Caenorhabditis elegans: one gene and its partner. The protein of the gene in region 2 interacts with the protein of the main gene of each other region in a pairwise test. Each region holds a gene or a part of one and is shown on either strand. Other genes may lie near its edges.

Region 1 (3,995 bases), 8.3 Mb from region 2:
TGAAGACTTCAAGATTCCACCAAGAGATGTATTTTGCTCAGTTTATCAAGATGAATTGCTGAAAATATTCAAGAAAAGTGAAAAAGCGGAGAAACGAAGAGCCAAATCAACTCCGAAACATAAAAAGTTCGCTAATGAAGATGATGATGATGTTATAGTAATCACAAGTGATGAAATCAAAATTGACAAGTTCAATACTCCGGGAGAAGTAAATTAAATTAAAATAAAAATTCAATATCAGTTACTTTTCCAGGAAGATTCCATTATAATACTCGACGGCTCTGCTTCAACAGAAGAAAAACACCTTTTGACTCCGATTCGAAAAGATGTAAAACTAGGAGAATCGATGTTTGAATTAATCGGAACTCCAGTGTTTGGTAGCTCTCTTCTTACTCCTGTTGCTCCACTTGAAGCGTTTGCCGTCGGAATTCAACCATTTGAAGCAAGAGAAGAACTTACTGGATGCAAGGGAAACTTCAGAAATCTCATGGACAAATTGAAAGAAATCCGCGAAAATAACTTCGTTCCGGAGCCTGAAGAAGAAGTTATTTTGGTTTCAACGAATGAAATTTCGTCGTCGAATAACTCTGGAACTGCTAAGAACAAAAATAATCAGAACAGGAAAAGAAATAGAAGACATGCTAAATGAATTGGCTTTTTGAAAAATCCTTTTGTTGAATTATTGTTGTTGCTTAAAATTGTTGTTGTTGTTCCATATTTTTACGCAAAACTACCATGATAAAACCTTTTTTCTTGATTTTCCAACCTCTCTCTTGTTGTAAATGGTTCCGAATGTCCACAATCTTCTATTTTGGTCATCAATTATATCTTTATCTCTGCGTTTCTTTCACTCTTGCCGCTTTCCGATGGATTGGTGACACACAGCAAATATCGGTTTTCTCAATTTAAACTAAATTGGTCTAATTGGCTTATGTTTAATCAGATTATTTCGAGAAACCTGTGAATATTAAAAAGATGGTATAGGTTTTGAGGGATTTTTTGCCGAATTTATTTTTTAGAAAGTGATGGAATTTTTTATGATTGCAAATTTTTTTAAAAATTATTTAAAAACGAGCTGAATTATTTTTTGAATTCCCGCGCAAACGAATTCCTAAAGTTTCGACGTTTTCAGGTTATATTATTAAGGTTTTTATTAAATTATTGATTCGAAACATAATTTTGTAAAACTTTCATACATTTTTTCCCGCAAAACAAGTTTACATTATTGATTTGAGGCCAGATTTAGAGTTTCAGAGAAGTTCTTTAGATTAACAAAATAAAATAAAAAGAAACCCCAATTAATATAGCCGGAAAAAGCAAAAAATATCGAAATTGTGTAGATCACTTGCGCGGGAATTCAGAAAAAGTTTAGCCTTTTTAATCATTTTTTTTCCAAAATTGAAAAAAATCATTTAAAACAATGTTCAAATTTTGTAATTTTGTTACAGTTATTTTCGGTAAATATATTGAGATTGTTATTGTTAATTAGAAGGAAAACCTACAAAATCTGCTCCCATACCATGCATAACTATATTTAAGATCCGAAATCTTATTCAAAAAAGTAATAAAATTAATTGAAACCTTTTTTCCAGGCCACCAGTTGTTCTTATCATTCATTCGTGACAATTTATTCATTGCATTCTTTTTCTTTCGTTCAGGCAGCGGTCCACTGGCTTGTCCATCCGATTGTTTGCACATAAAGTGTATGATGACTCATCACATTCCTTTTCCCTCTCTTCTTATTCTGTTCTCACTCAAAATAATTTTTTGTTATGATTTTCAACCTTCTTCGTCTCGAACTAAATTTATGAATTTTTTGAAATATTCAAAGTTTTCAGCGGATTCTTTCCATCGTTTCTAAATCACAAAACACAATGGTTGATCGACTTGGTAAGTTTTATTTATTTTCTTTTATAAAATAATTTATTAAATTTTAGTGAATAGTGAAGTGAATTCCCGTCGAATGGCTAACGTAGAACAATGCTTTGGAAAAATGGGAGAACAATTGTCGGTATTCGGACGAGTTCTTGTCGGAGAAGGTGTTCTTGTGAAAATGTGCCGAAAGAAACCGAAGCAACGGCAATTCTTCTTGTTCAATGATATTCTTGTATATGGAAACATTGTGATTTCGAAAAAGCGATATAATAAGCAAAGAATTCTAAGATTGGAAGGTGTACAAGTAGAAGATCTGGAAGACGATGGAATTGAGAAACATGGATGGATTATTAAGACACCTGCAAAATCGTTTGCAGTTTATGCAGCAACTGAAACTGAAAAACGAGAATGGATGTTGCATATTGAGAGATGCGTTACAGATCTCCTTGAAAGAGGTAATACACGAAAATTATTTTCAAAAAATTTCCACCAAAAAATTGCAGAGAAAGTTTGAAACCACCGTAATCTTTAAAGGCGCTTACCATTTTCCGTTTCAAAAAATCTTGTCGTTTCGAGACCGAAAACCGTATTTTTAATGCAACAATCGCAACATTTTTCGTCTAATTAATATTAAGCTTAAATAAGTCTTAGGCGCATTGTGGTCTTTTTATTTAAAAAAATGTTGGCAGCAATGTTCAATTTAATTTATAAATTGTGATGCAAAATTGGTCCATAGATCGACAAGTTACAGTAATTTGTTGTCCGCCTGGCGAGACCCATGCGCCTAAGATAGGTGAAAAATTCTCATATTTAAATGACCAATAATATACGTTCTACAAAAAAATTGGGAATCACCATATCTCTAAATTAAAACGGTTTTTTAGATAAATTATTTTTTTCTATTAAAAATACAATCAAAATTTTCTACTTTCAGGAAATAAGCAAGCCGCGACTGCTCACGCAGCTGTATGGGTTCCCGATGGTGAAGCAGTGAAGTGTATGGTCTGCGGGAAAACTCAATTCAATCTGGTTCAAAGAAGACATCACTGCAGAAATTGTGGACGTGTCGTGTGTGGCGCCTGCTCATCGAGAACATTCCGTATTGACAATGTACATAAGAAGCCTGTCCGAGTTTGTGATCATGTACGGTGAAGTTTGACACTTTATCGTCTAAATATCATGATTTTTCAGTGCTTTGACAGTCTGAGTAGTGCCACACCAGGACAAGAAGAAAGTGAACCAAAAACGGGAAATCGCTTGCACCATGAGGATTCCTCCTCGGATAGTGAAGACGAGGTCAATGGTAGTGGACGATCGAGTAATGAGAGCCGGGTATACTGAATATTGCCTAATCTTTCAATAAACATACAAATTTCAGCCAACATTCTACCGTGAGGACGTTCAGCAGCCGGCAACATAGTTCAACGCATATAAACTACGATGAAAATTCTAAAATCCACGTCCTCATTCCTACTACTAAATTAATATTATATTTTCTTAAACGTTCCTGTGATATACAGCAATTGTACGTATTTTTTTTTGTTGCTTCCAACGACTTTTACAATTCCTGAAAAAAAGTTATTTCCTTTTTCTTCAATTCAAGATTATTCAGAACTGCACAAAATTAAAACGACCACATGACAGAAGGAATCATTTTAATAATCATGAATTACAGAAATGATCAAATTTCTTGTCCTTACAAGAAACAGCGCAATTAACTGAAGTGTTCAGAGAAACGTATGGTCCATTCGGCTTGGAATCATATAAATGTTCTTAAATTATTAAAAGTAAAATAAATGTTTTATTTACATATGATTAGTGAAATCAGAGCACAAAAGTGTGCAATGAAAAATAAATTTTATTTTCTGGAGTACTGTAAGCGGGCACATGGTGTATTGTACGCAGAGTTCTTCGAGTGTTTGCGTATCCACGTTGTTCTCCACGTGGACAAAACGCGCGGCACGTTTACTTTCTGAAAATTCGTTTTATTTTTGCATTACTGTCTTCTTAAAAGCTGAAAATGGCTGCAAACGAAGTGTAAATTTCATAAATTCCTAAGCTTTTATTCATATATATATATATATATATATTTCATCATGTCCTATTTTTGCAGTGATTCC
Region 2 (4,833 bases):
TTTTCGGAGAATTTTCAAGGTTTATAGTGTAAAATTGAATTTCTAACTGAAATTTCTCAAACAAAAATTATAATTTTCAGCTCCAACTCACCAAGGAGCCGCCGAGAGCACCAGAGAGCAGCAGCTCAAAATCCCGCCACCACCGGAGATCGAAGTGAATCCAGCGATTGCAACACGATTTGAGCATGCTTTTCGTCAAAAAGCCCTCGGAACCGATCTAAATCAACAAATTCAAGGCAATCAGCAGTACAATAATCCGATGAGCTACACAACATTCATCGATGCGTTCGAAATTGACGAAAAAGGCACGAATTTCGCGAAAAATATCTTCGATCCGCACGTTTTTCCCGATAATTGCTTTTATGATGCGATCGCCGACGAGCAGAAGAAGATTCAGGAACAATCGGCAAAGAAAAAGTGAAAAAATCGATAATTTTCTCGCATTTTTTATTGTTGAAATTGTGAAATTTTGAAATTTTCCAAAAATGAATGTCAGATTCGTATTCTCCACGTCATCAGCTTTCAAATGACCCACTACATGCCTGGGTTCCGGCGATTTTGAATTTTCGCCGTTTTGACACAGCTGAAATCGGTGCTACAGTAACCCGCGTGGCGAGACCCGAAATTTTCAAAATCGACGAAACCCGGGCATGTTGGGGGTCATTTGAAAGCTGATGACTCGGAGAATTCGAATTCGGCGTTCGTTTTTTGAAATTTTTGAAATTGGAATTTTAAATTATTTTTCTTTGAAATTTTCCCCATTTTTTTAGAATTATTTTTTTAAAATTTGTTTATACCAATCTCGTAAAATCTTTTGAAAATAATAGTCATTCCTCTGCGAATTTCTTGTCCTTTTATTATATGGTAGCTGAAAAATTTGTAAAATTCGAATTTTATTACTTTTTCTACAATTTTTTTTTCAATTCAAAAATTTATTGAAAACCATGTAGAAATTCGATTTCCCGCCATTCTCAGCTCCAATTTGACCCCCATCATGCCCGGGTTCCGGCGATTTTGAGGTTTTTCGTCGTTTCGACACAGCTGAAACCGGTGCTACAGTACCCCGCGTGGCGAGACCCAAAAATTTCAAAATCACCGGAACCTGGGCATGTTGGGGGCCATTTGAAAGCTCTCAGTGAGCTGAGTTCAATGGTGGCAGAGTTTTGGAATTTTAGGCCACGAGAACTGGGGTTTCTAGGCCATTACTCAGAAATCGGAGATTTTGACCTTTTTTTTCGAAATTTGCTCGGAAATTTAGTTTTACCAAATAGTTTTAAATAGTATTTTGTGCGAATTGGTTGTTAAAACTATTTTTTTCAAAAAAAAAACCACTTTTTTGAAATTTTTTGAAAAAGTTAGTCCAAAGTCCAGAAAAACTCAAATTTTCTATAAATTTCTTGAAAATTCTGAAAAATTCGAATTCCCGCTATTCTCAGCTTCAATTTGAACCCCATCATGCCCTATTTCCGGCGATTTTGAGTTTTTTTCGCGTTTCGACACAGCTGAAACCGGTGCTACAGTACCCCGCGTGGCGAGACCCAAAAATTTCAAAATCACCGGAACCTGGGCATGTTGGGGGTTATTTGAAAGCTCTCAGTGAGCTGAATTTATTGGTGCCCGAGTTTTGGAATTCTAGGCCACGTGGATTTGGATTTCTAGGCCATCATTGAAAATGAAAGGGTTTTTGTTCAATTTTGGCGTTTTTTTTCCGAATTTCTTTAGTTTTCCATGAATTAAATAGTTTTTCTCACTTTTTTCAGTGAAAAATCTAAAATTTTCACTGAAAAAACTTGAATTTTCAGCCATAAATGTCCTATCACCCGGGACACGGTCACCGTCAGGAGCCCAGAAAAGGAGCCGGAGCCCGTCGTGGTTTTGCTCGACCGGATGACTCTGCAGACGCTCCACGTACCGGACCACTGATTTTCGAGGAACGATCTACCGAAAACGCGGGAGCAGCTCCGCCGATTGAAGAGCAACTAAAAGTGCACAATAATCCATATGCTTCATTGAATATTCAACAGCAGAGAATTAGATTACCTATTTTTAAGGTGAAGAAAATGTTCTACGGGAAATTCTTTGGCGCCGCGAAATTTGAATTTTTTGTGAAAAAAATTTTGAAAGTTTTTTTTTTTATGAAAAAATTTTTTTCGGAAATTTTTTTTGAAATTTTCAAACATTTGTCCCAGTTTTCTTTTTAGACCAAAAATTTTCACATAGTGCCAGCTAAAAATTTAACAATTTAAAAAAAAAATAAAAAGATTTTTCGAGAAAAAACTGTTTCTATAAAAATCGAAAAAATTCAGATATTGTGCAGTTGTGAGAAAATTAAATTTTGCACAGTTTGAGCTAAAAAATTGAGAAAAATCCTGAAAACTAAAAAAAAAAAATTTTGGAAAATATTTTTTTGAAAAATTCGAAAAAAAAATATCGATTTGTTTAAATTTGAAATTGTTTTTTTTTTTCAAAATGTTACAATAATAATATCAAAAAAGCTCAAATTTATACACTCTACCTACCTACAAACTGTAATTTTCAAAAAAAAAAAAACATTTTCTTCCAAAAAATAAAAATTTCTTTTTCGATTTTTTGAATTAATTTTTTTTCTTTACTATTTAATTTTTCTTAATTCAAGATAAAAAATTTTCAATAATTTTTTGTAGTTTTAACTGAAGCTAAATTTTTAATAAGTTAAATTTTTTCCCAAATTGAAATTTCAGTGACTCATGTGCTTCTACTCGTATTGATGGCATAAAAACTTTATTTATTCACATTTGCAGTCTTAAATTGGGCTGAAAATGTGAATAAATACCGTATTTCTGCCAACAATTTGACAATAGAGCACATTTGTCACTTGGAGATGCGGAAGCTATGCCCAAATTTTCATTTTTTCGGAAAACTTCAAATTTTTAGCATTTTTCCGATGATTTTCGCTAATTTTCAGTATGAAATTCGACTTCTCCATCACTTTTTACCCCCGGAGCCCGGTTTTCAGCCAATTTGAAGAAACTGTCGTAAGGTTCGGTGCCAAGTACGCAAGCCTCGGTGTTTGCGTACTTTTGGGGCTACCGTACCCCTCGAAATTTAAATTTTGAGCTGGAACCCTATTTTTTAGTGGTAAAGTAGATAAAAAGTGTAAAATTATTGAACATCTGCGAAAAATTCAAAAAAAAATTTCCAAAAAAAAAAAAAATTGTTTTTTTCGAAAATTTTTTTTCAAATGAAAATTAATTTTTCATTCAGAATCGCGGTCACATTCTCTACATGTGCGAACGATATCGTACAATAATCATTGTCGGCGAAACAGGATGCGGAAAGAGCACTCAAGTACCCCAATTCCTTCTAGAAGCCGGTTGGGCGGCCGACGGCCGCCAAATCGTCATTACTCAGCCACGAAGGGTGGCCGTGGTTACGGTATGGCTTGGCGGGAAATTCAAATACCTGAAATTTATTGGGTGAAAAATTGAAAAATTTTGCAGTTAGCCACCCGAGTCGCCGAGGAGAAGGACTGTATTTTGGGGCACGACGTTGGGTATACTGTAAGATTTGATGATGTATCGGATAAGGATACTAAAGTCAAATTTATGACTGATGGGCTATTGTTGAGGGAGATCCTTGCAGATCCACTATTATCGAAATATAGGTGATTTTTTGAATTTTTACCCGGAAAATTTTGAAGAAATCCGAAAATCCTCCGCCTAGAAACAATTTTTCAACAGGATTTTCTTGCAGAAAACTGCTAAAACATAGAAAAATTTGATAAAAACTCACATTTTCCCCGAAAAATTACGGAAAAATGTCCCTTGCTCCCCAAAAAATCGATATTTCCCCTGTGACTTTTGTGCTTCTATTCAGATTTTTGGCATAAATACTGTATTTATTCACATTTTCAGTCATAAATTGGGCTAAAAATGTGAATAAATACCGTATTTCTGCCAACAATTTGGCAATAGAGCACATTTGTCACTCGGACATGCGGAAGCTATGCCCAAATTTTCGTTTTTCCCGAAAAACTTGTGATTTTTACAGATTTTCAATACGAAATTCGACTTCTCCATCATTTTTTACCCTCGGAATCCGGTTTTCAGCCAATTTAGACTAACTGTCGTAAGGTTGGGTGCCGAGTACGCAAGACACTCGGTGTTTGCGTACTTTTGGCGCTACCGTACCCCTCGAAATTCAAAAATAGGGTTAGAAGCCCCAAAAAGGTTTTTAGGGGTGAAATTTGACGAGCAATTCGAATTTCAGTCTGAAAATCTTTGAAAACTTCTGGAAAATTCTGAAAAAAAGTTTTTAACAAAAAATTCAGTATTTTCAAATTTCAAATTGTTTTCTATACATTGTCATGCCAAAATTCAAATTCCCCGTAAATTTCCACCCCTGGAACAGCTTTTTCAGCCAATTTGTGCAAAATGTCGTAAAATTCGGTGTTTGCGTACTTTTGGCGCTACCGTACCCCTCGAAATTCAAAATTTGGAATTGAGGCCGGGAAAAATGCTTATTAGGTGTGAAATTAAATGGGAAATCCGAATTTTTACGTGAAAATCTTCAAATTTTCAAAAAATCTCTCAATTTTTCGATTAAAAAAAAATTATTTTTCAAAAAAAAAATTTCCAGCATTATCATGATTGACGAGGCACACGAACGGTCATGTAACACGGATATTTTGCTCGGGTTACTTCGAAAAATCATACAAATTCGCAATGATCTGAGGATTATTGTGTCCTCGGCGACGCTGGACGCCGAGCTTTTTAAGGATTTTTTCGAGATGAATGAGACGGGAAATTCGGATAAAGATACTGCTGGAATTATTTCAGTGGAGGGAAGAACACA

What was found. The genes of interacting proteins can lie anywhere in the genome.
Region 1: the proteins of ddx-35 (region 2) and ZK632.12 interact in a two-hybrid assay, tested with the Caenorhabditis elegans proteins (one large-scale study listed by BioGRID).

What each region holds. Positions count from the first base shown.
Region 1 is NC_003281.10:9,828,964-9,832,958, forward strand, and holds ZK632.12 (uncharacterized protein), read left to right. Parts: upstream 1-1,838; 5' UTR 1,839-1,874; coding exon 1,875-1,890; intron 1,891-1,937; coding exon 1,938-2,330; intron 2,331-2,809; coding exon 2,810-3,018; intron 3,019-3,066; coding exon 3,067-3,207; intron 3,208-3,253; coding exon 3,254-3,295; 3' UTR 3,296-3,460; downstream 3,461-3,995. Other genes in the region: ZK632.11 (uncharacterized protein), read left to right, coding at 1-208, 254-649.
Region 2 is NC_003281.10:1,551,417-1,556,249, reverse strand, and holds the start of ddx-35 (putative ATP-dependent RNA helicase DHX35 homolog), read left to right. Parts: upstream 1-1,802; 5' UTR 1,803-1,808; coding exon 1,809-2,051; intron 2,052-2,729; exon of another isoform or gene 2,730-2,827; intron 2,828-3,243; coding exon 3,244-3,414; intron 3,415-3,479; coding exon 3,480-3,643; intron 3,644-4,617; coding exon 4,618-4,833. Other genes in the region: eelo-1 (Early ELOngation arrest), read left to right, coding at 81-421.